Elephas maximus indicus: one gene and its partners. The protein of the gene in region 4 purifies or fractionates together with the protein of the main gene of each other region. This does not show direct contact. Links are inferred from orthologs where the notes say so. Each region holds a gene or a part of one and is shown on either strand. Other genes may lie near its edges. The genes, in order: EIF3F, EIF3D, EIF4B and EIF3B.

What was found.
Region 1: the proteins of EIF3B (region 4) and EIF3F purify together in Homo sapiens (affinity purification with mass spectrometry; 14 studies listed by BioGRID and IntAct, counting the BioPlex papers as one, with this or other methods). This does not show direct contact. The link is inferred for Elephas maximus indicus from reciprocal best matches to the Homo sapiens genes EIF3B and EIF3F.
Region 2: the proteins of EIF3B (region 4) and EIF3D purify together in Homo sapiens (affinity purification with mass spectrometry; 10 studies listed by BioGRID and IntAct, with this or other methods). This does not show direct contact. The link is inferred for Elephas maximus indicus from reciprocal best matches to the Homo sapiens genes EIF3B and EIF3D.
Region 3: the proteins of EIF3B (region 4) and EIF4B purify together in Homo sapiens (affinity purification with mass spectrometry; 3 studies listed by BioGRID and IntAct, with this or other methods). This does not show direct contact. The link is inferred for Elephas maximus indicus from reciprocal best matches to the Homo sapiens genes EIF3B and EIF4B.

What each region holds. Positions count from the first base shown.
Region 1 is NC_064825.1:63,220,065-63,228,016, reverse strand, and holds the start of EIF3F (eukaryotic translation initiation factor 3 subunit F), read right to left. Parts: upstream 3,010-7,952; 5' UTR 2,992-3,009; coding exon 2,589-2,991; intron 1-2,588. UniProt on the Homo sapiens protein: Component of the eukaryotic translation initiation factor 3 (eIF-3) complex, which is required for several steps in the initiation of protein synthesis.
Region 2 is NC_064822.1:180,151,251-180,158,217, reverse strand, and holds the start of EIF3D (eukaryotic translation initiation factor 3 subunit D), read left to right. Parts: upstream 1-3,949; 5' UTR 3,950-4,085; intron 4,086-6,583; 5' UTR 6,584-6,593; coding exon 6,594-6,716; intron 6,717-6,967. UniProt on the Homo sapiens protein: mRNA cap-binding component of the eukaryotic translation initiation factor 3 (eIF-3) complex, a complex required for several steps in the initiation of protein synthesis of a specialized repertoire of mRNAs.
Region 3 is NC_064822.1:108,528,824-108,536,206, forward strand, and holds the start of EIF4B (eukaryotic translation initiation factor 4B), read left to right. Parts: upstream 1-4,374; 5' UTR 4,375-4,456; coding exon 4,457-4,469; intron 4,470-7,383. UniProt on the Homo sapiens protein: Required for the binding of mRNA to ribosomes. Functions in close association with EIF4-F and EIF4-A. Binds near the 5'-terminal cap of mRNA in presence of EIF-4F and ATP.
Region 4 is NC_064830.1:96,692,078-96,699,538, reverse strand, and holds the start of EIF3B (eukaryotic translation initiation factor 3 subunit B), read right to left. Parts: upstream 3,007-7,461; 5' UTR 2,886-3,006; coding exon 2,393-2,885; intron 1-2,392.

The DNA of each region.
Region 1 (7,952 bases), on a different chromosome or scaffold from region 4:
ATCTTTTTGGGAACATTATTCCATCTATTGCAAATAATACTGCAATAAACACAGGTGTGCATAAAGCTATTTGTGTGATGGCTCTTAACACTCTAGTGTTTCACACTTCTTATATTTGCTGGAATGCCCAGCTCAAAATCCATCTTTTCTGTAAATCCTTTCCCAACCTTCCAAGATAGTCTCCTGTACTTCCACAGCACTTCGAACACCCTTCTATCAGATCACTCATCACGTTACATTCTTATTATTTGTATATAAGACTATTTGTCCATCTTAAGTTTAAGGTTAGAGTACAGCTCATTTTCTCAAACTTTGAATTCTAAGTATCTAACAGTTTCCAGTACTCAAAAGGCACTCGTAACTTCACTTAAACAAATGAAATATGTTTCTTGAATGAACGTGTACCTGGGAAAATTCCAAGTTTCTTACAGGCAGGATCTATGCTTTGTCCTTGTATAAGCACTGCCCCTATAACACTTTGTGCTATACCGCGATCTCCATCTGGAAGGGGACCTTCCAGAGGATTGCTGTGATATTTGGGGCACTAAGCATAAACCAGGAAGCCCTGGTGATGCAACAGTGAAAGCACTTGGCTGCTAACCAAAAGGTTCGAATCCACCAGCTACTCCATGGAAGAAACATGTGGCAGTCTGCTTCCACAAAGATTTCAGCCTTAGAAACTCTGTGGGGCAGTTCTACTCTGCCCTATAGGGTTGCTATGAGTCAGAATCAACTTGACGGCAATTTTTTTTTTTAAGCATAAACTTTGGTTAAATAGTTCCACAAAGTTCAGAAACCTTGACAGTGTAGCTGAAGGAGTAAGTCAGTGTTTGTTGACTACCAAATCAGTGATGCAAAAATCATTTGTTACAGGACCTCAAAGCAGGGCACAGTCAAAGAATGTGCTCATGGTTAGAGAGGTTAAGAATGGGCTGAGGATGTGGTATGAGGTGGAGGACTGGTACTGGACATTTGCCCTGGGAACCTGGCAGATGGGTACAACTTTAAAAAACAACTGAGGCACAGCAGGGATGGCATTTCTGACAAGGAGAATATAAACGTAAAGGCTTGGTTTGAGAAAAGCCATAGCTATGTTTGGAAGCCAATTGTTTAGTTTCTGTAAATACCAAGTGCTACACCCACAAAGATAAAAAGGAGAACTTGTGTGTGTGTGCTTTGGTGGTGCAGTGGGTGGTTTGAACCCACCACCCACCCTACGGGAGAAAAATGTGGCAGTCTGCTTCCACAGCCTTGGAAACTCTATGGGGCAGTTCTACTATTCTACAGGGTTGCTATGAGTTGGAATGGACTCGCTGGCAATGAGTTCAGGCCTGATTTGGTAAAGCTGTTTTGCATCTAATGTATACCAGAACTGAGTTAGATGCTTTCTGTAATAACTTAGTTCTCACAAACACTAAGTCTAAAGTAGCCCTCAAAAGAACTAACTTTGGGTAATTTGCCTCAAGGCACATGGCTAACATTTGGTGGTGTCTGCATACAAATCTTGTCCTCACACCTTAGAAGACAATGTATTGTCTTCTAAGGTGTAAGGACTACTACATTTTCAAGAGTAAGAAAGAGAAATGATGCACGGGACTGGAGTGGGTCCGCAAAGATGTCTAAAGCCTGCGATAAAATGGAGTGAAAATCAATCTCGTGGGACCAGTAGTCCCCAAAGAAAGACATTTATTATTAACAATACATCTTCAGTGATTTTAAGTTTTAAAATGACTTTAACATAAAACATCTATTCTCCAAACTTGGAACACGGGCAGGGAAAAGACTATTCTTTGATTTGAAGGTCAGAGTCAATCATAAACAGATTAATACAATGGTTTTTATCCAAATAGAGAATCAGAGACAGCATTGGGAAAACGGTTTATCATATCAGAGATGGTGTTGAGGCAGACTCAGGGTTTAGGAAGACAGAATACTATAAAACCTTCAACAGGCTCCAGCCAAACTGGTTTACTTGTTAGGAAGAGTATCTTTTTATAGATGCCTCCACTCCTTGGCCAGCTGGTTAGAAACTTCTTTGTAAAAATTTGGAAAATAGAGACATTTAGACAGTGGATTAAAAAAAAAAAAAGCCGTTGTTATTAAGTCGGTTCCGATTTATAACGACCCTACAGAACAGAGAATTGCCCACTGGGTTTCCAAGGAGCGGCTGGTGGATTCGAACTGCTGATCTTTTGGTTTAACGAACGTTTAACCACTGCGTCACCAGGGCTCCAGTCAGTGGTAAAGGAGGGAAACTTGGTCACTGTGCTTAGGGAATCAAGAGTCCTAGTTCCAACTTAATCACTTGCCAGTCGGCATATGAGCATATAAGCTCACTTTTGGTAGAATGGAGGTTATCATACTTGACGTGAAATGGTGTTGGAAATAAAATGTAAATCACTTGGTACCCAATATTTATCAGTAAATAATAACTATCTATTATATGTGAGATGCAGAAACAAGCAAAAAGTGGGGGTGGGAGGAGGGGGCAGCAGGACGCCAGAGACGAAAGGGTTATGAGAAGGGGGAGCGATACATGGGAGGTGGGCGGTAGGAAAAAAGAACGTCGGTATTATCTCACCACTCACCCAGCAGGGTCCCGATTACTCGGGCAGCGCCCTCATTGCGTCGCTCATAGCTGTCCACGATGGAGGCTAAAATGACCGGGTGTAGCCGGACCACGCGGCCGCCGGGGAAGGGCCCTGGGAGAGCTGGACCAGGCGGCGGCGGCGGCGCCGAGGTCTGCGCTGGGGCTTGCACTGAGGCCGAGCTCTGCGCCGAGGCCGAGGTTGTAGCCGCTGCTGACGCCGGGTCTGAGGATGAGGCGGGGGCAGAAGCAGGAGCCGGGACCGGTGCGGAAGCGGGAGCCGGAGCCGGAGCCGGAGCAGCGGCTGGACTTGGGGCTGGGGCTGGGGCTGGAGCCGACTCCGTAGCCGGTGCTGGGGATGGAGTGGCGGGAGGAGCACTCGTTGGTGAAGGCGGTGTGGCCATCTTGTCGAAAGAGAAGAAGCCAAGAGCGGAAAGGAGTGACTTAGTGAATTTTACGACTTTGATAGGCTAAATATGCACCACGTGAACTGTATCTTTCCACCTATTGGTTACTGATGGTGCTTCTCGGGGCACGAAAATTTCCTGCTCTGTTTGTAATTTCTTCCGGAGTTTGTGTGACTGCTTTCGGTCCGATGAGCACGTCATAAGAACCACGGTAAATAGTTCCGGGTAAATTTAAGACCGCGCTGGGAGATTAAAAATAACTCCACTCAGTTTGCCCATGTGCCGCCAGGTGGAGCCAGAGAGCAGCGCAAGGTCGCAGTTCGTGTTTTCATTCTTAAATGGGAAAATGGATGTCAAAGTTCCATTAATAGGGCTTTGTTCTTGACCAGATCATAAAGTGTCAATAGGGTGGTTCATTCTTTCAACAATTTGAGTGCCTACTATGTTTCAAACGCTCTTTTAGGGGCTTTGGATTTATCAGTGGACAAAGATCCTTGAATAGCTTACATTCTAGCATGGAAAAAAAAACTCAAAAAGGAAGATAAATAACTAATGCAGTTGTTGTTAGGTGCCCTTAGGGGTCAGCTTTCTCACTCTGTCGGCTCCAGAGGAAGATTTCTTGTCATCAATCTTCTCCTGGTCAAGGAGCTTCTCAGGCACAGGGACCCCATGTCCAAAGGATGTGCCCTGCTCCTGTTGCTGCTTTCTTGGTAATATGAGGTCCCCAGCTCTCTGCTTGCTTCCCTTTCTTTTTATCTCTTGAGAGATAAAAGGGGCCACACCCCAGGGAAACTCCCTTTACCTTGGATCAGGGAGGTGACCTGATTAAGGCTGGTATTACAATCCCACCCTAATCCTCTCAACATAAAATTACAATCACAAAGTGGAGGACAACCACACAATACTGGGAATCATGGCCTAACCAAGTTGATACACACATTTTTGGGGGGTCATAATTCAATCCATGACAGGCATGTCTACTTTGTCCTGTAGGGTCACTATGAGTCAGAGTTGACTCGATGGCTACAGATTTGGTTTGGGGTTTTATTATCATTACTATAACTATGGGGAGGAACCCTGGTCCTAGCTTTCTGTGTGACTTTGGACAAGCTTCAATTTTTTTTTTTTTTCAGAGCCTCAGTTCCTTTCTGGTATAATGGGGATGATAGCTCGGCTGCTAACCAAAAAGTCAGCAGCTTGAATCCACCAGCCCATTCTTGGAAATCCTATGGGGCAGTTCTGCTTGGTCCTGTAGGGTCGCTGTGAGTCGGAATCGACTCGATGTTAACCGGTTTGGTTTGGAACATCTGTCTATACCGAAACCTGTAAACTCCTAAGTTAGGTTAAGTCCCAGCTAATCCAGCTGGCAAGGTGGGTGGATGAGGTTGGATTTCCTACCTCTGACTTTTATGCCCAAGACTCGCTTTCCCCTTGAGGTTACCATCCGTAATTAGAATTGTTATACCTGCTTCTGTCATGCTCTGTGTCAACACACATTCCTTCTCTGAATTCCCCAAAACACAGGTTAATAGCCCACCAGAGGTGGACTGAAAAGTGGCTTTTGTTTTTGATAACCTGATGTCTTTAGCAACCCCAGTAGAAAACTGGTCAGTGGAATTGGGTGGGAGGGGGACATATAAACCAGAATTCAGGTGTGAAAGAATGGTGAGTTTGAGGTGAAGGGTGTGTGTGCTGGCTATCTTTTCAAGGAAGTTGCCTGGGAAGAAAAAGAGACATTTAAGGAACAGCAGGGTTGAGAGGGGACAATTGAGGCCAGAAGAGTTTTAAGTGTACTTTAAATTGCAGGTAAAGATCTGAAAGAAAGAGAAAGATTGAATATATAAGAGTCAGCGGCAATATCTAATGAAATAAGGGAGGAAGGAGGGCCTGGATTGAGAAGCCTTGATGAGTGGGATGGCTTTACAAAGGATGAGGGGCATGCAGGAGAGGCTGCCCTGGCCTGTTGGCCTCTCTTATGGTGCCTAGTGGCGGGGGGTGGGGGGGTGGGGGGGTGGGGGGGGAGGGGATCTACCTAGGCCAGGGCTGGTTCCCTGACATCATCTCATGGGTCAAGGCCAGAGGAGACAACCAGCCCAAATGAGGTGTTACTGCCCCAAACTGAGCACTCACACCCGTGGGACCGCCTGTCAACGAGTTCATTTGACTTGGATGTGGATACTTCACCTTCAAGAACTCACTTTTGCCTTTATATCAATGACCATAGGACCTTTCTCTCTGGAGGGGGAAGGAGATGATGAAGAATCAGATAAATTTTGAGCTGGGGAGAGCAGAGAAGTAGTGGGGGGCTCCTCTCAAATGCCATCCCCCCCCTCCCAGGGAAGTGGAAGCAAGGTGATCTATTGAGAATGGCAATGCCAGAGCAGGGTTTAGGCTTGGAGGAATGGGCAGTGTTTGGAAGACGGGCTGAGGGTGAGCCATTAAAAGCCATACAAGGCATTGACGATTATGGGAGGGCTGCTGAGCCTGGAGAGCTCAAGTTGTACAAGGACCAGCTGGCCGACTTTCGTGATTTCTTTCCAGCAGCCATGTAGCCCAGGGGCAGGAGGAGATCATTGGCATTGTCTTTCCACAGGAGACAATTGGCAAGGATCAGGGAGTGTGTAGACACAGGCTACTGGCTTTCCAATGGCTGAGTGAGGGATCCAGGAAGGCTGCTCCCTGTGAACTGAAAGCTTGGGAGCCTCAAATTTTTCAGGTAAAGGGTGGAAGGAGTGGGGAGAGAGAACAATGGACTATCCCCCTTTTATATAGAATGTGTTGTACAGGGATTGCTCTAGGTTTCTGGTTGCTTGGGTACACGCTTAATGGTTCTGCCTGAAAAGACCAGGGTCATACTGCCTGCCTCATGATAAGACTGCGGCCTGTAGCTTGATAAACTTATCCCATCCTCTAGATCACTAACTGAAGTGAAAGGAGCTGGAGCTACAGCTCAGATTAAGGGAGGACAACAAGGGAGAGCCCCAGGCTATCTCAAGTCTGTAGCAAGCGAGAAAAACAAACAAACCTATTGCCGTCCAGTCGATTCTGACTTATAGTGACCTTATAGTCAGTTCTACAGTGCAGAACTGCCCCAAAGGGTTTCCAAGACTATAACCTTCACAGAGGCAGGCTACTACATCTTTCTCCTGCGGAGCAGTTGGTGGGTTCAAACTCCCTACCTTTAGGTTAGCAGCCAAATGCTTAACCACTTCGCCACCAGGGCTCTTTCGACAATAGCTGTTGGGGCCTAATTTGGGGAAGCTTTCCTCCTGAGAAAGTTTGCTTGATTTTTTTTCTGACGGGATTGGGGTGGCAGTGAGGTCATTTCAGGCTTTTTGGAAGATTTTGACTTAGAAATGGTGGTCATGCTTAGCTTCCCCATGCTTTTTAATGCTAATTGACTTTTAAAACTCTAAGCATGTTTGATAAAATAAAAGTTCAACAAAGAAAGAATGCGGCTAAGGAAGTAGAGGTAACACGTATAGACAAATCTTGCCAAAGCATGGCAGTAGAGAGGGAATGAGGTGACATGAGAAATGCAGGGTCAAGAGAAGGTTTCCTTTGTTTGAACATGGGAGGGAGTAGAATATATTTGAATGCTGTGGAAAGAGATCCAATAAAGGTGACACAGAGAGTAATTCCCTGCTCCAACCTTTCCCACTACCCACTAGTCCCTCTTCCCTGAGGGTGACTTCTCAGAAATCTACTTTAGATTTCTTTTCTTACATCTTTCCATTTCTAAACAGTGTATGTATACTGCTACCTTTTGATTAACCAGTTTTAGGTGTTATCTAGGGACTGCCTATTCCAGCCCACAAGCATTTAACTCTTCCATCACCATCCTTTCAATATGGTTATGTTACCATTTTAGTTAGATTGATACTCAGTGGTTACATCATTATTCCTATGTAAACATTATTCACACCTGAGTATTGTCATTTACTATTATGTTTCCTTTCGTTTTGCTTTTCTCAGAGTTAGTAATTCCTTATTTTAGTTCCATTTGTCTAGTTTTGTTGGTGTTACCATAAATCACAGATTCGAGCGGCCTGCTGCAAAGCCAATACTGAGACAGGAGGGAGGTCAACAGCAAGAGGGCTTTACTGAATACCGGTATCCAAGAAACAGAGGGGATAGTTTACTCCTAAATTCTGTCTGTCTCGAAAGAGACAGCTGGGCGGTTTTATAGGGAAAGAAAAGCTAAGTCCAAGGAATCTGGAGAATTTTTAATTCCCCTTTGAGGTGGTCTTGCAAATCACCTTCCAGACGTGATGATCTTTTCCAGGTATTCTTAGGGTCCCTTCTGGAGTCATTGAAGTTTGGTCTTCTAACATCACTGTCTTCTGACTCCTCGGTTCCCAGATCCTATCACTTGTTTTTCATGTTGAGAGAGAACACGCAGGTTAATCTTAAGCCTATACAGTGCTGAGAGAGAACAATCAGAAAAGAATCGCAAGGCGTGCTATAGCTCACAGGGGTTTCATCAGTTCCCGTAAACATTAACTTTTCTACCATCTGGATGTTCAAGCAATATTTTCCCACTTCATTGGCACTTATTGCCAGTTTTTCCCACAGTCTTCCAATAGCTCTAGTACAATTTTTCGGGTCAATCATAATAGTTGATCTATGAATCCTTTTCTTTTTTTCCCCCTTGGAGATATTCTTTCTGGAGAAATCCATTCCCTGTCAGAGACTTCAGAGCTCTCAGCTCTCTAGACGAGCTGCCTTCTAGGACTGTTTTTTCCTTGTTTGGATTCCTATTTCATGGATCTTGAGTCTTCCTCCTTCTTTTGTTCTGGTGGAGGGCATCCTCCAGTAGTTTCAACAACTTAAAGATATGGTGCAAAGGCAAAAGTGGTCCATTTTCTTTGGAGTTTCTTTTCCTCTCTAGACAAATTTCCCAGTCTGGACTGCAATTGTAGAAGAGAGCTAGGGTCTTCAGAGAGAGAGGTTGTGAA
Region 2 (6,967 bases), on a different chromosome or scaffold from region 4:
CTGTGGAAGTGGAGGTGATGGAAGAGGAGGTGACACCTGAGCCAAGACTGGAGGATTAGAGGGAGCTGGCCAGGGTAGGAAAACCCTGGTGGCGTAGTGGTTGAGTGCTATGGCTGCAAACCAAGATGTCAGCAGTTCAAATCCACCAGGCACTCCTTGGAAACTCTATGGGGCAGTTCTACTCTGTTCTATAGGGTCACTATGAGTCAGAAATCGACTCAACGGCAGTGGGTTTTTGACCAGGGTAGACCTGGTGGGGGGCGGGGGGGGGTGTCCTGCTGGGGAAATAGCCCTGCGTCAGGAACAGCCTTTTTTGTTCCCACACGTGCCCTTCCAAGGAGGGAAGGATGAGTTCTCGCATGCTGGGATGGGAAGGGAACCTCTTGGCCATCCAGTCCAGCATTCACTCTGGAGAGGAATCTCCTTGTCACACCTCTGGCTGGTTGCCATCACCTTCTCTTGGATGTCCCCAGTGCCAGGGAGCTCACTACTCTGTTAATGCTACTGTGCCTTCTTGGGACTCTTTTCTGGTCAGCGTTTCCAGTTCCTTTGTCTATTTCTTGGTGTCCCACACCCCCCACTCCCTCATGCCTTTTTTTGTGTCAGAAGTCTAACAAAATGGCCATCTCCAAAATTGCTCTTCTCTCCTCCTCCAGTCTGGGAACAACTGTCATTGGCACCTCCCCCCGCCACCATCCCCTGCTCAGTTCCACCCTCCTATTTTGGGTGCTTTTTGGCCTTTTATAGGCCTCCCTTCATGTCCACAAGTTCCCTCTACTCTACCTTCTCTGCCCCACCTGAGCACCTCCACCCTCTCATAGCCTGCAGTCTACCGGGGCAAAGATGCTCCTTCCCTCTTGCGTTGCTTTGGTCATCTTCTTTGAGTTGGCACTAGTCTTTTCCGGTCTACCCACATTCATTTCAGCTCCTGGATTCTGCCATTCCTTCCCCCTCAGGGGACTCCCTGGGTGGTGTCAACGGTTAAAAGCTAGGCTGCTAACCTAAAGGTTGGAGGTTGGAGTTCACCCAGAGGTGCCTTAGAAGAAAGCCCTTGTGACCTACGACCGAAAAATCAGCCATCGCAAACCCTATAGAGCACAGTTCTATTCTGACACACGTGGGGTCACCGAGAGTCAGGATCAACATGACAGCAACTGGCAGACTATGGAATGGAGTTTAGGATTTTATCCTCAGGGTAACGGTAAGCATCTAAAGGGTTTTAAGGGTAGGGGTGGGGTGAGCATGTGCTGACTTAGTGTAAAGCAGGGGCATTCTGCTGCTGCATGGAGAATGGACAGCAGATAGCAGGAAAATGGCAACAGGGGTGTCAGTTGGGAGGAGGAATGGAAGCAAGATCTCCCACCTAAGCCCAGGGACCCACTATTAGGAATGAGACTGGACAGTCCAAATCCATCTCCATCTGGGTGGGCAAGGATGTCTAGGCCGAAATCTGGGAAAGATGATTCAGTTCTCTGACATGAGTCATGGAGGGAGGATGCAGCAGATGGCCTGTGAGTCCATGATCAAAGCAGTTCAGCAAAAATACATTTTCCCTTATGGTTTAGAACAAGGACAATTTATTATGGATATTAATTACACTAACATTTATTGACGGAAACCCTGGTGGCGTAGTGGTTAAGTGCTACAGTTGCCAGCCAAAGGGTCAGCAGTTTGAATCCTCCAGGTGCTCCTTGGAAACTCTATGGGGCAGCTCTACTCTGTCCTATAGGGTCGCTATCAGTCAGAATTGACTTGACAGCACTGGGTTTTGGGAACATTTACTGAAGGAGCCACTGCGGTGCAATGGTTAAGCATTCAGCTGCTAACCAAAAGGTTGGTGGTTTGAACCCACCTAGTGGTTCCATGGGAGAAAAGACCTGCTCCCATAAAGATTATAGCCTTGGAAACCATATGAGGCAGTTCTACTCTGTCCTATAGGGTTACCATGAGTCAGAATCAACTCCATAGCACACAACAATAACATTTATTGACTGCTTATCTATGTGCTAGAGTAATGTGCTGAATTCATTTTTTCATGTAATTCTCACAAAACCTCTATCCATTCATTCAACACGTCAACAAATATGTAATGTTCTAGGTAGACAAAGCTCCTATCTTCATGGAGCTTACACTCTAGAGGGGGAGACAAACTCTACACAAAGAAACAAATAATATTCCAGGTAGTGATGAGAACTATGAAAAAAACAAAGCAGGGTAAGAAGGCAAGGAGGGATGGAGAGAGAAGGAACTATTTTAGGAAGACCTCTTTGAGGAGATAACTCTTCAGCAGAGATTTGGATGATGGGACCAAGCCAACTATGAGTAGATGTGGGAGAAGAGTGTGTCATGCAGAAGGAACACAAGTGCAGAGGCCCTGCTGAGGTGGACGTGTTTTCATTGTTGTTAAAAAAAATTTTTAAGGAAAACTGAAAAATGAGCCAATTGAAAGAGATCTTATGGAAGAAGGTGCTATTAACATTCTCATTTTACAGATGAGTAAGTAGGTTTAAAGAGGTTGAATAATCTGTCCGTGTTCATCCATGGACATGGGTAAACACGGAATTACTAAGTACTTTAAACGGAATTTAAAAGGAATTACTAAGTACTTTAACATACACGGAACCCTGGTGGTGCAATGGTTAAAGGGTTTGTCTGCTAACCAGCAGGTCAGCAGTTGGAATCCACCAGCCCCCCTTGGAAACCCTACAGGGCAGTTCTACTCTTGTCCTATAGGGTCGCAATGAGTCGGAATCGGCTCTATGGCAAAGGGCTTCTTTGTTATAACATACATTCTTTATTTTTACAATCACACACACAAAAAAAAAAACCTGTTGCCCTGGAGTCGTTTCCTACTCATAGCGCCCCTACAGGGCAGAGTAGAACTGCTCCAAAGGGTTTCCAAGGAGGGGCCGGTGGATTCGAATTGCTGACCTTTTGGCTAGCAGAGAAGCTCTGACACTGCCAGATATGGAAACTGAGGGCCAGAGAGGTGACACCACTCCGCCAGAAAATGGCAGAGTCCAAACTAGATCCCAGATTTGTCTAATAATAGATGTATTTTCCAATAAAGGAGACAGGCTGGGAGACGAAGGAAACCTAGGAGACCAAGTAGAAAAGGATCTGACTGAGTAAATCACACCGGAATTGACTCGTCCACAACAGGTTCGATTTTCTGGTGCTCCTTCTGATCAAAGTTTTGAAATTTCTCCGGTAAAGACTCCAGGAGAAAATCCCTACGCCGAGAGTTGCAGAGAGGACAGCATTGTTGCCCAACGTAGCAAAGTGGTTCTGAGTCCCCCCACTTCAGAAGCACAGTTGCCAATTTAAATGCAAATTCCTGGACTCCTCTTTAGGCAGATTTGAATAACTATCTGTGGGAGCGAGATTCGTAATCTGCATTCTTTTAAAGTAGAGCTCCAGTAATCTTTGCCGTACAGTCAAGTTTGAATAGTTTTTAAGTAGGATTTGGACACTGGTAGACACTCCTAAACTAGCACTCTAAACTAAGCAGGTCATTTTACACGTCAGCTTCCGCTACTGTAAAAAGGAAACGGGTGCTAATTACTGTAAAAAGGAAACCGGTGATAATTACGAACCGGGCCTAAAACACTCGCCCCACCCCTTGCTGTAAGAATCAAATGACATGATTGGTTAAAGAGAGCGGGGGAGCCGCGGGTCATTGTGGGATACAGAGGGGCGGAAGGGTCCCGTGAAGCATTCTGGGATACTGAGTGGATCTCAGCCTCTCCCGGCCCCCAGCCTCGATTGCACGGCCGCTACGTTTCAGTGCTGCCTGACGTAACTATAATCACACCTCTTGCGTCTTGAAGTCTGGGAGGCTTCGGCTCACACCTCGCAAAGAGCAGTAACGACTTTCCGGGTTACCTTAGCTTTACGGCTCGTGCGTCTTACCACCGAACTCGGAAGAAGCTGGCGAGCAGTTTACGACAGCGCCGGTCGTGTTTACGGCGCCGGCTGCTGCGCGCGCATGTTCTCCCTTTTCCCTGTTCTCCGAGTGCTTCTGGTGACTCGCGTTTCTTGCCCCGACCATCTCCCGCCATCGGGGAGGGCCGAGGCCGTTGCAGGTGAGCGGCGTGTTGTGTGGGGTCCTGAGGGCTTCCGGAGCCGGTTGGGCTGGATCCTGCCTTCAGGGGCCTCCCGGAAGAGACCTCCTGTACGTGCCCTCCTGCTGCCGCGGTTCCTCAGCCGGGCGGGGCAGAGAGCCACTTTTGGAGGCTCCGAGCCCAGCACCCCTTGGGGTGCGGGATCCGGCCCAGTTGGTGAAGTCTCTGGCTTTAAGCTCGCTTCTTGGCCACGGTTTAAGCGTATTTGGTTGTCACTTAACTCAGCTGGGTCTCAAGGTGTTTCTAAAGTGGCTGGAGGCTTCCTGAGTTTTTTCTACGAGTGGGTTATTGAGGGTGGTAAGCTGAGCGATGTTCGACCCCTGCCCTGAGGAATGCGCAGCTCAAATGTTTCTTTTCCTTTTCTTTGACATGAGAGGTTAGGATGGAGAATTGACCTGATCGGAAGTCTCTCTTCGCCCAGGGGTTGATGGGTGCGATCTGCGATGGCCTCGACAATATCTACACAACACTGTGGCCAGTACAGCTGTCACTGTCCATTTTCCCCGAACGACTCCATTTCCCCTACTGGTTCCATTCTGCTCGCTCTGTTTTACTTGGGCTGGAAAAGTGCATGTCAAGCCTTGGGCCGGTTTCCTTCTTGAGCTTCTTACAGAACGACTAAACTGAAAGAACAGTGTATTTGCAGACATTCTTATTGCGTTGTTAAGTATGGTCTGAAAGTCCCAGAGTTTTTCAGACTGCCGCCCAGCTCTAATGGGATGAAGAGAGTGTCGGACTTACGGCAGACTGCCCTGTAAATCGAATCAGTTCAGAAACCATGGACAGGTCAACCGCTTGATGTGGCTGAGGTTCAGATTTTTATCTCTAAAATCGGGAGGGAGGTAGTGGTGTTAAAGTATCTAGTATGATGCCTCGTCCATCCAAAACCCGAACCCGTTGCCATCGAGTCGATTCGGACTCATAGCGACCCTATTGGGCAAAATAGAACTGCCCCACACGGTTTCCGAGGAGCACCTGGTGGATTCAAACTGCTGACCTTTGGGTTAGCAGCTGTAGCTCTTAACCACTATGCTACCAGGGTTTCCGCCTCGTACATACAGCTCAATAGATATTTATTGAATGTGAATTGTTGAGATTACCGCCCCTTCCCTCTGTCCTCTTTGCTAGCATAGCTTAAGTTCAGAGTTGGAGGATGAAGCTCCTAGGTTCATTCCCTGTTGCTATCATTCTAGTGTCATCTCTGTAGGAAGCCTCAATCTCCCCATTTTGGACAATGAGGAGAGTTTACTGAGTTCAGTATATCTCTGCTTTTCGATTTGCTCTTCAGCTTCCAGGAAATGCTTGTGTCATGAGTTTTTCTCAGGGAACGAAGGTTGTGAGCACTTTCAGAGTGCTGAAATGGATGGTAAACACATAATTTTTGGTAGGGACTGTCAGGCAAGCATCTGCGTTGGAACCCCAGGCTCATATACTCCTGAGAGGAGTTAAAGCGTTGTGCAGAGAGTGGACTCTGGAGCCAGACTGCCTGGATTCAAATTCCTTATCAACTACCATTGAGACTTTGGGTAATTTCTTAACTTCACTGTGCCTCAGTTTTATTATCTGAAAGTGGAAATAATACTGGTCCCCACCTCACAGGATTGTTGGGAGGATTTAGCGAATTCATATATGGTTAGCACTGAAAACAGTACCTGGTATCCATAATATTTGATGTATGGTAGCTTTTGGCCTAAGGTTTATGGTGACATCAGCCTTCTGGCAGGCCTTTGCCTGGCTATGTCCACTTGCTCTGCACACAGGATTTGCATTGGTGATAGAAAATTGGAAGAACAAGAAAGGAAAGTCAAATTTTCTGACATAACTTACGGATTCTTTTTTCTCACCACTCTTTGGGCATAAATGTATTTTGCAAGGCTGGGTAGTAATTATGTGGCATTTTACAAAGGAGGCATTTTCATGTGTGTTGACCAGGACTTCCACGGTGATCTCGTAGTACAAGATAAAGCAAGGATTCTATTTATTTTACAGATGGGGAGACGGGGGCTTAGGGAGGAATCGTATGCCTGGGTTAAGGGGCTTCTAAGAACAGAATGTGGTTATTACAGTTGCAGAAGGGTTACCAGATTTCATCAAATTTGTGAGACACACTGATGTTAAGAAGCACCATTATCTTATGTAACGCCGAGAAAAACTGCCAATTAAGCTGTGGTACACCATCAAACATAAGTTGTAGCTTCATTTCAAAGATGTCACAGCTGAAAAAGTGTCACAGAACTAATGAAATACAGTGAATCAATTTGGTTATCAATCTAATGAGCTTTATTCACAGTGTCACTTATAAGAAAGCATCTCGTCAGTAGCTCAGTAGTTCAGAGTTGCATTTTGTGTGTTGCTTTTTGAATTTTTATCATTTCTGTCTGGGCCTACCTCAAATGGAGGACTTTTTGTACTGTGAGGCCTTTCTTCCCGCAGCTACTCACCTTATTTGTGTCTTTAAGGTTTTAGAAGATGGCGAAGTTCATGACACCCGTGATCCAAGATAATCCCTCAGGCTGGGGCCCGTGTGCAGTTCCCGAGCAGTTTCGGGATATGCCCTACCAGCCGTTCAGCAAAGGAGACCGGCTAGGAAAGGTACTTGCCTGTCAGCAGGACTCTGCGTCTTTCAAGCTGTGGCTGTTACTCCCCAGGAGTTCCTGTTTGCATTTTATTCTCTCAAAAGCATAACCCCTGCGTTCCTTATAGTGATACCAGCTGAGAAAGGCTCTGACCTCTGGAAGTAGTCACAGGAGAGCTGCGTACTTACAAAGGCATTGTGATCCAGTTCTTCTGAGACTTTATCACACTGTTTCCTCCTGTAACTTTTTCAGGGGTTTCTGGGTCAA
Region 3 (7,383 bases), on a different chromosome or scaffold from region 4:
TGGATCCAAGTAAAATGAAATTCTTGACAACTTCAATCTTTTCTCCATTTATCATGATGTTGCTTATTGGTCCAGTTGTGAGGGTTTTTGTTTTTATGTTAAGGTGTAATCCATACTGAAGGCTGTGGTCTTTGATCTTCATCAGTAAGTATTTCAAGTGCTCTTCATTTTCATAAAGCAAGGTTGTGTCATCTGCACACTGCAGGTTGTGAATGACTCTTCCACCAGCCCTAATGCTGCGTTCTTCACACAGTCCAGCTTCTCAAATTATTTTGTATAGGTTATATAGATTGCTTGAAATATCATGCCATTTATATGCTGATGACTCCTATTATGTGTCCTCCCAAAATATGTGTTGTAAATCCTAACCCCTATAGCTGTGGCTGAGGAGCCCTGGTTGAACAGTGGTTAAGCGCTCGGCTGCTAACCAAAAGGTCGGCGGTTTGAATCCACCAGCCCGTCCACGGGAGGAAAATGTGGCAGTCTGCATCTGTAAAGATTATAGTCTTGGACATCATATAGGGCAGTTCTACTCTGTCCTATAGTGTCCCTATGAGTTGGAGGACTAGAGAGCAACGGGTTTGGTTTCTTTTTTATATCTGTGATTATAAGGGGCTGTGTTTTCTTTGCTGTGTTAAGAGGGCATATCAGTTTAGGGTGTGTTTTAAGCCAATCACCTTTGAGATATAAAAAGAACAGATTAGGCACAGAGAAGCAAGCAGAGATGGGGGAAGATAGATGCCCTGCCACATAAAGATCACCACGGAGCCAAGAAACAGAAGTTGAAAAGAGACAAGGACCTTCCCCCATGATGCTCTGAATTCAGACTTCTAGCCTCCTAAACTGTGAGAGAATAAAATTTCTGTTTGTTAAAGTCACCGACTATGGTATTTCTGTTATAGCAGGACTAGGTAACTGAGATCAAACCAAAATCGAACCCTTTGCCGCTGAGCCAATTCCGACTCATAGTGACTCTACAGGACAGAGCAGAACCGCCCCATTGGGTTTCCAAGGAGCAGCTGGTAGATTCGAACTGCCGACCTTTTGGTTAGCAGCTGAGCTCTTAACCAGTGCATCACCAGGGCTCCAGGTAACTAAGATGGCTCCCGAATTCCTATTTCCAGACTTGGTCTCTTTCAGGAACTCCAGATCACCTACTTGACATCACCACATGGTTGTCCCCAAACCAAAACCCTTTGCCGTCGAGTCGATTCCGACTCATAGCGACCTTATAGGATAGAGCAGAACTGCCCCATAGGGTTTCCAAGGAGCAACTGGTGGATTCAAACTGCCAATCTTTTGGTTAGCAGCCGAGCTTTTAACCACTGTGCCACCAGGGCCCCTACGGTTGTCCAGTACTCTGCTATTCAAACTGTGGTCCTCAGACTGGCACCATCTGCATCACCTGGAAGCTTGTTAGAAATATAGAATCTCAGGCCTCATCACCTCAGCCCTGCTGAATTGGAATGTGACTTTTAACACATTCCTCAGGTGATTTATAAGCACATTAAAGTTTGAGCAAACTAGTTGCTGTCCATACAGTTCCAACTTGTCACAACCCCATGTATGTCAGAGTAGAATTGTGCTCCATAGGGTTTTCAATGGCTGTGATGTTTTGGAAGTAGATCACCAGGCCTTTCTTGTGAGGCACTCCTGGGTGGATTTGAACTGCCAACCTTTAGGTTAGTAGCCAAGCACTTAACCATTTGTGCCACCTATTTCAAACTTCACATGGCCAAAATAGAGCCCACATACCCCCTCTAAACCTGCTCCATGATAGGCTTCACCATGTGAGTAAACAGCATCACCCAGGTTGTTATGGATTGAATTATTTCCCCCCAAAATGTGTGTCAACTTAGCTAGGCTATGATTCCCAGAATAGTGTGATTGACCATAATTTTGTCACCTGATGTCATTTTCCTATGTGTTGTAAACCTTATCTCTATGATGTTAATGAGGCAGGATTAGCGGCAGTTATGTTAAGGAGACAGGACTCAATCTACAAGATTAGGTTATGTCTTGTGTCAACTTCTTTTGAAATATAAAAGAGAGAATTGAGCAGAGAGAGTGGAGGACCTCAGGCCACCAATAATGAAGAACCAGGAGGGGACAGCATCCTTCAGACCTGGGGTCCCTGCACTGAGAAGCTCCTAGACCAAGGGAAGATTGATGACAAGGACCTTCGCCCAGAGCCGATAGAAAGAGAAAGCCTTTCCCTGGAGCTGGCACCCTGAATTTGGACTTCTAGCTTCACAGACTGTGAGAGAATAAATTTCTCTTTGTTAAAGCCTCCCACTTGTGGTATTTCTGTTAGAGCAGCACCAGATAACTAAGACAGAGTTCATGCCAAAAACTTGGAAGTTAACTTTGATAGCTCCCTCTCCCTTGACTCTCACATCTAATCAATCATCAAGTCTACTTCCGAAATATATCTGCATCCATCCTTTTCCATCTCCACATTCACATCTAAACCACCATCTTCTCTCACAGCAATTTATCCACTAAGGGCCAACTTATTCATTAGGCGTAATGCCTAAGACCCACAATACTTCTAGGGTCTTTCTCTTTCATTATTCCATCTGTCTAATCTACTCTCCATTCAGCAACCTCAGTATTCTCTTTTTTCTTTTTTTAATTAAAGTATGACTTCCATACACTAAGGTCCAAAAATCTTAAGTGTACAATCTGATGCATTTTTACAGTTATACATTCATATAACCGCTACCCATATGAAGGTACTAAATAATCTTTTTTAAAAAATTATTTCAAGTCGTGGCTTTCTCCTGCTTAAAATCATTCCGTGCTTGATAAACAAAACAAACAAAAAGGAATATTATTCAGTTATGAAGAAATGAAGTTCTGATATATGCTACGACATGGATGAATCTTGAAGATATTATGCTAAGTGAAATAAGCCAGGCACAAAAGGACAAATATAAAATAACTAGAATCGACAAATGCATAGAGACAGAAAGTAGATTAGTAGTTGCCAGGGACTGGGGAAGCTGAGGGGTGAAGGAGGAGTTATTGCTTAATGGATACAGAGTTTCTGTTTGGGATGATGAAAAAGCTTTGGAAATAGCAGTGATGGTTGCACAGCATTATGAATATAATTAATGCCACTGAATTGTACTTAAAAATGGTTAAAATGGCAAACTTTATGTTACATGTGTTTTACCTTAATTAAAAAAAAAAAAAATCATTCCATGCTTTCCCAACCACCTCCTGGTTTACAAAGCCGCACTTGACCCAACTCCTGCCTATCTCTCAAACTTCATCTCGTACCACTCTCTTACTGTTTTTGTTAGCTGCCTTCGAGTTGGCTCTGACTCATAACCTTACAGATATCAAAACAAATAGTTGCACGTCCATCTCCATGATCGTTGGGATGCTACTAGCCTTTAAATTCATCAAATTGGCAAGGTGTTCCTACCCTGGCCTTTGATGTAACTGCACATCCTCTCCTTCCCCTAAAACTCTCCCTGAATACGTTCGCAGGGCTAAGCTGCTTGTGATTCAGATCTCTGCTTAAATGTCGCTTCTCAGGAGGTCTTATCTAGCCACATTCTAGAGTTGCACCCACTCAGTCATTTTTATTACATCACTTATTTTAATTACCTCCAGAGTCCTTATCATTTCTAATACTTTATTTATTAATTTGCTTATTGTCTGTCTTTCCCTCTCTGGAATATAACCTACTTGAGGGTAGGGATCTGGTCAGTTTTGTTCTCTCTTGTACCTGCAAATGTCTTTAACAATGCCTGGCACAGAGTAGGTGCTCAACAAAAATTGTCATGGACTGAAATATTAATATATGACAAAATGGAGCATTAGCTAGCGAAAACATGGGTAGCACTCGGCTATGAAATCATAGAAAACCGGGTTTGACTAAACCTAATCAGAAAATTGTGAGGATTAAACAAGGTAAAAATCCATGGCAAATAATGTTCAGTATTTATTAACCTAATTTCTTTTAAGCACGTTTATTTACAGCATTTTTAGGCAGGATTGTGAACTTGTTTCGCTTTTACAAAAAGTATCCGTCCCAGAAAATCAATTACGGCACACCCATTCTAGGTTCTAGCCCGCCTTGATTCTATCCCTATTAGTGCAGCCAGCAAATACGAACACGCCTGTTCCGCCTAACGCACCCGCAGGAAGTCTGCGGACCATGAGAACCCGCCTCTCGTCCGCGCGTAGTCCTACGTAAAGCGTAAGGAATTTCGCGACAGCCCAAGCCCCACCCCTCCGGCCTCATGTCGCGCAGGTCTTCCCGTCGGACGCAGCCCCACCTCCTCGCGCTGCTTTACGAACCTGGAGCAGCGCCGCCCCGCCTCCGGTCTCCCTCCTTACCTCCCCGCCCCCTCCCAGTTTCGCGTCTCCTAGGCCGACGCGCCCGCTATAATCACGTGATTGCCTCATCCGGGTCCTTTGCGTTCTCTCTCCCTCTCCCAACATGGCGGCCTCAGGTGAGTGAGCGGCCGAGCGCGGCGAAAGACCGGGCTCCTAAACCACTCTACCAACCTGATCCACTGACTACCTGGAATCGGGAGGTGGGCGGCACTGCTTCCCTTAGGATTTGGGGGCTGCGGCAGGCTGGTGGCTTGGCCATCTTACATTATTGTCTCGGGATGTTTAGGGGGGAGGGGAAGGTGCCCTTCCCCTCCCCCTCACAGCCTTTTCACCCGGTCTGCGCGAGGCTCGAGTCGGGGGTAAAGGTGGGCTCTGGCTTGAGTTGGAGCGAGGAGGCGCAGAAGGATCTGCGAGAGGCGCGAGATGTTTTCATGGACGTGATACACTGTGCCCGCTTGAAGACGTGGAGGAAGGAAGGAGCGGTTGGCGCGCGGACCGGCGCACACTAGACTAGGTCTCCAAGGCGCGAGGCCGTTGCGGACTGGAGCGGGGGCAGGGGGATAAAGGGGGGGCAGTTAGAACGCGAGCGCGTGTCAGTGGAGGGGCGGGGGTGAGGCAGTGGTGCGCGTGCGCGGTGGGAGGGACGAGGGTAGTGGAGACAGGCGCTCCTCAAAAGCATGCGCGAGTGCCTAAATGGGAAGGCTTTACGCGCCTCTGTTGCCCCTTTTTATGTCCTTCCACTTTCTGCTCTTTTCCTCTAAGAGTGTGGCCCAGCTTTGTACTCTTAAAGGTACATGTGTCAGGTTGGAGGTTGAAGCTACTAAAGTTAGGTGGGGGTAGGGAACTCTGGTGTACCCACGTGTTGGAGCGGAACCAGGGCTAAGGACTTAGATTTTCTTCTGTGCCTTTTTTCTTGTCAAATTTTTACTGAGCGAAAACGTTGTGCAAGGCACCGTGGTAGGCACTGGAGATAGTGGTGAACGAGATTAGGTCCCTGCTCTTATGAAGCTTCTATTCGCGTTGAGTTTTTGATAGTTCCGGTGGTAGAGTTCAGTTTTTTTTTTTTTTTATAGATGTAGAACTACTAGGGATACAATTAAAATGAGTTGAGTTGTTTTTTGAGGGGGCGTTATCACTGTCATGCAGATCTTTCTGATAGACTTGGAAGTGCAGCAGTAAGCTGTGCAACATCTTGTAGCATTGATTTTAGTTTGACGAATATAATTTTTTCACCCTGGCATCACCCTGCATTCCACAAAACATTCACTGAGCCCCTGCTATCTCTGGACACTCACTTCTCACCAGGAATTTTACCTTCTTTATTATTTATAAACGAGGCTAAGGGTTATGCTTATCTTTAGAAAATGTCGAGGTAGTTGAGGTGCAGTTGAACATGATATCTTTCATTGCTGTTCATTGGTGTAGACTTGCCAATTGACCAAGCAATTCTGTGTGTGTTGTCTCGTTTGGTCCTCTGTGAGATAGATGGTGGTATGCCTCAGCCGAGGACAATGAAATGATTTGTTCAAGGTCACACTGCTTGCAGGTGGCAGAGCAAGGCTGAAATCTAAGACTGTTGACTCATTACCATCACCTACTTGGGAGTACCAAGGTTGACTTCCTTTTTTGGTGTGCTGTCCAAAAGCTTCATCTGAAGTTTAAAAAATTGTACTTTTTTTTTTCTCTCTGAACTGGTACAGTCCTAAATTTATTTTAAGCTTATCATTGTGTCAAATACCGATTTGGCCTGGGTTTGCCATCTTGACAGTTAACTGTCTCATAATTTAGTGAAAAGCCAGTATTCTCCTTATCCATAACTTTTGTGAAATTATTACAGGTAGAAGACCTGTTAGCAATTATATAATCTGTGTCCTTCATTTTACACATGAGTTCAGTGAAATCCAGGCTGGTTAAAGGGGTATGCTCAGTGATGTCCCCTTCTCCTGTTTTCCATGTTTAGTTTACCCCCTTGGAAACACTTCCTTAATTCAGTGGATACTTATTTAGCTTGTTTAGTCTGTGCAAGGGGCACTATGCTGGAATCTGTGCTCAGGGATACATCTGACAGTCTGTCCTCGGGGAGTTTTAGGTTTATCAGATTTCTTTTCCCCTTTAATCTTTTACACTGTAATTGACTGTTGGGTAACCAGTAATACCAGATCTGGCTGTACTAAAGAGGCTGTAAAATTCTCAGTGTATTTTCAGTGTTTCCTGATGGTGACCAGTGTTTTGCTGGAAGTAGATCTTGTATTTCCTCTGTGGAAATACATGATACAACTTCATCAGCCTCTTTTGAGACTGAAAATTCTTCGCAGCAATACACATTTCCAGTGTGACCCGTCGTTGACTTCAAGAACTGGAAGTATTTCAGGGCTTACTATTAAATGGAGGTATCTTGGATTTTTAGGAAACTTGATACATTGAGACAGGCCACTTGATTCCTTGTTTGGCTTCTTAAGAATACTCCCCTGAAACTGAGGTTTTCATTTTGTTTTAACTTTTGTAAATTTGTTACAGACCATTTACCTCTTGGGTCCCAGTTTCCTCATCTATAAAATGAACATAGTTTATCTGCTCACTTTAGGTATAGAGAATCAAACGTGTTTGATACATGTTAGCACTTTTTGAAACTAAAGTTGGCAAAAGTGTGTGCATACCTATGTGCAACCCTTTCATTTTGCATAACACTTAAATGCTATTGAATATGGCATTTTGTTTGATTTTTTTTTTTATGGGGAGAGGATGGTATCCATTGTTTTCATATGGTGCTGACCCTCATAGTTATTTTCCCTTTGATTAACCTATGATATCCTTCATATGTGCATTATCCTGTGATTATCCAAAGAGAAATAGTTTCAGAGATTGCCATTGGATTATGTTTGCATTATTACCTGTTTTCAAATCCCATTCTCTACCATATATTTGTTATTCTGAGGCTAGGATACCTAGATTCAGAAGGCCAAAACTAAAAACGCCTTACGGAAATTCAAAGACAAATACAGAGAGTAAAAAAAAAAATCTGACTCATAG
Region 4 (7,461 bases):
TCTCAGCAATCTACTCCACCTCAGGACACGTAACCTTTGGGTAAAGGGTTTGGACTTGATAAGCAGCTCCCATGCCTTCACTAGTTTGTCATGTCTTTCCTGCTTTTTGAGGTAGAATGTCTTTTACCTTGTGAAAAAAAGCATAACAAAATAAACGGTGACAGTAGCCCTTTAAGAAAACACTTAAATGAAGAGTTGACAACTCTATGCCAGCGTCCTAAATTTTCCTCTTCCTTTCACTTGTTAGGAATCTATGTAATTCTGACTCAATCTATGTGATTGCCAGCACAATACCACACAAAAAAATCTATGTATGTTAATGTGCTAACATCTAGTTTTCTTGGTGTATGTATCAGTGGCTACTTCTACAGCCACTACTTTACCATAAACTAGTCAACACGTAGAGGGATCCATTGGTGAGCTTGGAGAGTTAAAACGGCAAAAAAAAAAAAAGAGCAAACCAAAAACTAATGTAATCAGCTATCAACAACTCTCAGGCAGCAGAAATAAAGCCTGTAAACCTGATCAAGGTAGAAACCACCGGAAAGCAAGCTATAGCTGCTTGTTGTTGGGAGCCGCTGAGTCCATTTCAACTCACAGCGACTCCATGTGACAGCAGAATTGCCCCATAGGGTTTTCTAGGCTGTAATTTTTTTTTTTAATTTTTATTGTGCTTTCAGCGAAATTTTACAAATCAAGTCAGTCTCTCATACAAAAATTGATATATACCTCGATACATACTCCTAGTCGTTCTCCCAATGAGACAACACACTCCTTCTCTTGACTATCTCCATGTCCATTCAGCCAGCTTCTGTTCCCCTCTGCCTTCTCATCTCCCCTCCTGACAGGAGCTGCCCACACAGTCTCATGTGTCTACCTGATCCAAGAAGCTCACTCCTCACCAGTATCATTTTCTATCCCATAGTCCAGTCCGATCCGTAACTGAAGAGTTAGCTTTGGGAATGGTTCCTGTCTTGGGCCAACAGAAGGTCTGGTGAGCATGACCTCCGGGGTCCTTCTAGTCTCAGTCAAACCATTAAGTCTGGTCTTTTTACAAGAATTTGGGTTCTGCATCCCACTGCTCTGCTGCTCCTTCAGGGGTTCTCTGTTGTGTTCCCCGTCAGGGCAAGTCATTCGCTGTAGTGGGCACCATCTAGTTCTTCTAGTCTCAGGCTCATGTAGTCTCTGGTTTATGTGGCCCTTTCTGTCTCTGGGGGTCATAATTACCTTGTGTCTTTGGTGTCCTTCATTCTCCTTTGCTCCAGGTGGGTTGAGACCAATTGATGCATCTTAGATGGCCGCCTGCTAGCGTTTAAGACCCCAGATGCCACTCTCCAAAGTGGGGTGCAGAATGTTTTCTTAGTAGACTTTATGATGCCAATTGACCTAGATGTCCCCTGAAACCATGGTCCCCAAACCCCCGCCCCGCTATGCTGGCCTTCGAAGCATTCAGTTTATTCAGGAAACTTCTTTGCTTTTGGTTTAGTCCAGGTGTGCTGACCTCTCCCGTATTGTGTGCTGTCTTTCCCTACACCTAAAATAGTTCCTGTCTCCTATCTAATTGGTGAATACCCCTCTCCCTCCCTCCTTCACCTGTAATCTTTGAGGTAGCAGATCACCAAGCCTTTTTCCTGCAGAGCAGCTGCTTTGGTTCAAATTTGAGAAATAACCTCCCAACACAAGAACGGTGGCTTGCCTGACACATTTAGGAAAAAAAGTAACCACAACGGGAATTTGGCAAGGTCTGCCTTGCACTATCCTGCGCAGGAAATCTCCAGTCAGAAAACCAGTGGAACAGGGACACACCAATCCAGCTCTGCCACAACCTGCACTTCCCAGTCCTGCGGGGAAATATCCGCAGCCACCTCTACAAGTCAAAACCTGTGTCAGCCCTAGGACACCTGGACCAGCAACCCTGAGGTCTTGCCCTTGGACCATGGGAAGTCAGTCCAGGAGACCAATCCAGGAGAGTCCTACTTGGCTCTGCCCCCAATGGCTACACATCAGTGTGCACTGACATAGCCTCCTGTGTAGGTACAGTCTGACAGCCGCCCACCACCGCGATCCTGGATTTTTGGCTGTAATGCAAATAATAGGTTCCCTTCTTTAGGGACCCCTGTATCATTCTGACATATTCTTAACCCCAAAGAAAGCGATAGTAGGCTCTCCTAGAAAAATTCCACTACGCACTGGTGGCAACAGTTGGGAGACAGTGCCACCTCCCTCGCATTTCTACAGAGCCTGGAACTTGGGCACAGGCACATCACATGTCACCGAAACTTGTCATCTAAAGTCAATCTCCAACACTAGCTCCCTGACCCTTCTCGGTTAAAAAGCCTCCTTTCTCTACGTCGGCCACAGGTCAGGGAAGGACAGCGGGCCGGGGACGCACCTTCCTCGCTCACGTCGTCCACGAAGTCCTCGGGGTCGCTGAAGGAGGGTTCGTCCGCGTCACCGTTCTCCAACGCGCGTGGCTCTGCCTCCGCCGAGTCCCCCTTGTCCTCACCCGCCTCTTTCGACGACTCCTGTGGCCGACTCTCGGCGGCCTCGGCTCGGGACTCCTCCCGAACCGGGGACTGGGGCTCCTCCCCGGACGGCGGCAAGGGGGACTGGGACGAACCCGCCGGATAGCTGGGGACCGCGCCCGCTGACTCCGTCTCCTTCTCCGCGGCCGCCGGCTCTGCCTTCGCTTTAAGCTCGGGCTCGGCCGCCACCACCGCCTCCTTCTTGGCCTCGGTCACCGAGTCCGCCGCCCCCGGAGCCCCTGGCCCCGCGGGCCGCAGCGGCTCCTCCTCCGGCGGCGGCTCGGCGGCGGGCTGCTGCGCCCCCGGCTCGGTCTGCTCCTCGGCCGCTCCGGGCGCCGCCACGTTCTCCGCGTCCTGCATGGGCCCAGGCGCAGCCTCCCTCACCTCAGGGTCCGCAGCCGCCGCGCTTCCGACTCTCCCAGGCCGCACCGCGCGTTCGCCGGCGCCTACTCTCTAACCATGTGCGATCGACCCGGGCAGGTCCGCACCACCGCGCCCACTGCGGGGGGGGCTTCCATGCCTTGACCCCGCCTGACGTGCTGGGAACCACCCAAGCTCGGAAGTGTGCCTATCAACTGTCTGAATAACATTTTTACATCAAGTAACTATTCAATTCCAATCCACTAAGTTTTCTTCCTCATTAGGTAAACTCATTAGGAGCTATAACCACCCCCGTTTGTGGTAGCGGATTGGTTTCACCCAATATGGCAGCCAGCCCTTCCTGCTCCCATCAAGCGCTTCGGTGAAGGACGGAACTACTTGTGGCGCCGAAGGGAGGTCTCAGAAATGATCTTTCTATGCGGAATTATGTGTAAATATAGTTTGACTCAAAAATTAATACTAGAGAAAGCCATAAGTTCAACCAACGATTTGGTGTGATAGCCTAGCTTTTAACCGGACAAACCATTTAGCTTATATTACGAAACTCCCCTTTACATACTGGTTTTTAGTTTCGCCTACTGACTGGGCAAAAGAGCCGACGATTCCAAAATGAAATAAAATATGGTGTTAACAAGAAGCAGCCAAAACTACCAGAAAGAATATTTCCCGGCCCAATACAAAAATTTGAGAGTTGCTTTACTCGCTTACGCCCAGCTGCACTTGTAGCGGCCGTAACACTGCTCTTTACCCATTCTGGCTTTCACGATGGTTCGGTCCGCAAGAAACTATCGCTCTCCGACCCGGGAGCGGGTCACGTGGTTCAGGGGGGTGTGGCCAGAGAAGTCAAGAGACACGTGAGGCGGGAGGAAGACGCAGAAGGTCTGAGCAACGACGTGGAGACAGGAGGGGCGGAGTTTGCGACAAGGGTGGCTCAGGTATTTATCCACAGACTCGAGGCCAACCACTGATGTTTTCATCATACAAGAGTTGTGCAGTTGCGTAATACTGGGTTCGATTCCTCCTCCTGTCAACTGTAACCTTGGGAGAATCTCTGAGCCTCTGTGCCTCAGTTTCCTCACCTGCAAAGTGAGGGGTGAGTGGCTCTTGGAACCTTTTCGAGCTGTACTCCTGCAGAAGGTGAATGAGTTTCACTAAAGACCAAAAGAATCTTCTAAATTTCTAGTTTCGTTTGCAGTTTTCTTAAATCATTGCCAACCGTTTTCTTCTAGAAAGTGCTAAAAGGTGATAAACCAGTGAACAAGGAGGTTGTAGTTTATAGTTTGGCACCTAGGTGTTTCTCAGATAGGAAAGACTTCTATGGCATGCTTCTATTGCAGAACTAGAAAAAAAGTCAGTTTTCATTAAGTTGATTCTGACTCCTGGCAACCCCATGTGGGTCATAGTAGAACTGGGCTCCATAAGGTTTGCAGTGATTGATATTTTGGAAGTAGATCGTCAGGCCTTTCTTCCGAGGCACCTCTGGGTGGACTTGAACCTCAAACCTTTCCTTTAGCAGCAGAGCGTGTTGATAAGTTTGCACCACCCAGGGACTCCTTGTAGCAGAGTAGCAACTCATGACTCTTCCAGTGAGTGAATTTGTCATTTTCTTTTCTGCAGGGAAAGTTATGAACACTGTCATGATGCAATAAAAAGTATTTATTATCTCTTAGTATTCTAGAGGGGAGTCCTGGTGGTCTGGTGGTTAAGAGCTAGGCTGCTAACCAAAAGTTCAGGAGTTTGAACCCACCAACTGCTCCTTGGAAACCCAATGAGCAGTTCTTCTCTGTCCTACAGAGTCACTATGAATCAGAATCGACTCAATGGCAACAGGTAGGATTTGGGTAGTGTTCTAGAGGAGCCCTGGTGGCATAGTAGTTTAGCGCCACAGCTGCTAACCAAAAGGTCGGCAGTTTCAATCCACCAGCCACTCCTTGGAAACCCCATGGAGGCAGTTCTTCTCTGTCCTGTAGGGTCAGTATGAGTTAGAGTCGACTCATTGCCAATGGGAGAATTCTGGAAAGGAGCCCTGGCGGTGCAGTGTTTAAGCGCTTGGCTGCTAACTGAAAGGTTGGCGGTTTGAACCCACCAGCCGTCCGAGGAAGAAAGATGTGCCAGTCCACTTTCATCAAGATTATAGCCTTGCGTCTGGGGTCTTAAACACTAGCAAGCGGCCACCTAAGATGCGTGCATCAATTGGTCTCAACCCACCTGGATCAAAGCAGAATGAAGAACACCAAGGGCACAAGGTGATTACTAGCCCAAGAGACAGAAAGGGCCACGTAAACCATTGGCTACATCAGCCAGAGACCAGAAGAGCTAAATGGTGCCTGGCTACAACCGATGACTCCCCTGACAGGGAGCACAACAGAGAACCCAAGGGAGCAGGAGAGCAGTGGGATGCAGACCCCAAATTCTCATAAAAAGACCAGACTTAATGGTCTGACTGAGACTAGAAGGACCCCAATGGTCATGGCCCCCAGACCTTCTGTTGGCCCAAGATAGGAACCATTCCCAAAGCCAACTCTTCAGACAGGGATTGGACTGGAGGGTTGGAGAGGGATGCTGGTAAGGAGTGAGCTTCTTGGATCAGGTGGACACTTGAGACTATTTTGGCATCTCCTCCCTGGAGGGGAGGTGAGAGGGTAGAGGGGGTTAGAAGCTGGCTAAACGGACACGAAAATAGGGAGTAGAGGGAGCAAGTGGGTTGTCTCATTAGGGGGAGAGCAATTGGGAGTATGTAGCAAGGTGTACATGGGTTTTTGTGTGAGAAACTGACTTGATTTGTAAACTTTCACTTAAAGTGCAAAAAAAAAAAAAAAATAGCCTTGGGAGCCCTATGAGACAGTTCTACTCTGTCCTATAGGGTTGCTATGAACTAGAATCGACTCGACGATGGCAGGTTTAGTGCACTAGAGAGAGCATCAAGACCATCAGCAGTTGCACCACCCTCAAAAGTGAAAAGCACTGCAATTGCTATTCAAATTATGTAAGCGCCTGCTCTGTGTTGGTTATGCAGTGGTGGGTAAAGTGTGCTGTGTTAGAAGTACAGCTCTGTAATGGGAGCAACGTTCATTAATTAAAGCATCACAGAAGTGCAAAAATATGCCTGTGATTTAAAAAAAATAATTGTCAAGGCGACTCCAACTCAGGGTGACGCTATGTGTATCAGACTGATCTTTCAAAGTAGATCACCACGCCTTTATTCAGAGGGGCCTTCAGGTGGCTGGACTCCAACCGCCAACCTTCTGGTTAGCAGCTGAGCTTGTTAACCGTTTGCACCATTCAGGGACTCCACATCTGTGATAAATTCATGAAATTTTTGACACTCCTCCCTTCAAAAGGTAAAGCCTAATTCTGCTTTTAATGTGGATAGACAGTGACCAGCTTCTAATGAACAGAATGTGGCAAAAGTGATGCTAAGTGACTTCCAAGTCTAGGTCATAAAAACGACAAGCTTCTAGCTGGCTGGCTGGCTGTCTCTCGGATCACTGGCAATGAAGGAAGCTGGCCAGCATGTTCTGAGGGCACTCAAACAGTCTGTGGAGAAGCCCACATGTGGAGGAACTGAGGCAGCCAACCAACAGTCAACACCAAATTGCCAGGTGTGTGAAAGAGCTACCTTGGAAACAGATCCTGCAGTCCTGGTTAAGCCATTAGATGACTGCAACCTCATGAGAAATCTTGGGCCAGAAATACCCACCTAGGCCACTTGCAAATTTCTCACTTGCAGAAACCACAAGATTATAAATGTTTTTTATTTTAAACCCTAAATTTTGGGGTAATTTGTTGTACAGCAATGGGCAACTAATAAAATGGATTTATATATGATAACTTGTGTAGTTCCTAAAACATACTGTTAAGTTTCATAAAGATTAGGTTGCATATTGATATATACAGCAGAATACCGATTAAGAAAAATGCACAAAGTTATGTTATAGATATTACATGGGTAATATAGATAAAAATGTAAAATATGTAGAAAAAGACCTGGAAGGATGCACACGAAACTGAAAGCAGTAATTGATGAAAGTGAGTGAAATTGGTGGTGTTTTTCACAGAAAAAGTTAATTATAGGATCTAGGTGGGGTGTTTGTATGTTGACTATAAAATTAAACTTTTCTGTGTGGTTGAAAATTTTTATAATAAAATGTTGGTGGGGGGAGGATTCCAGTCAGTGTCAGAAGACCCCCCACTGAGGCAATTTGTGCCTTAAAAAGTATTTTTATACTGCAATTGATTGAAATATAAAATGTTGGAGTCTGTGAGTTCATAATGCTGGGGGGAAAAAACTCTTGTTCATCATGGTTGGATATTGTTGGAACATCTCATTCTAAAAGTAAATAAAAATGCAAGCAAAAAAATTTATCTTGCCTTTCTTATCTTGCCCTTACGTTTCAGGGTAAGCAATAGTTGGTGAGGGAAAGTTTTTGTTTTATAAAAGAATTCTAACCAATTATTCTGGAAGGAGCAATAAGGTTGGAAAACCAGCATTTCGTAGTGCTAATGAAGTAAAGGATCTGAGCAATGGTCCTGAACGACTTTTGCATCTGTTATG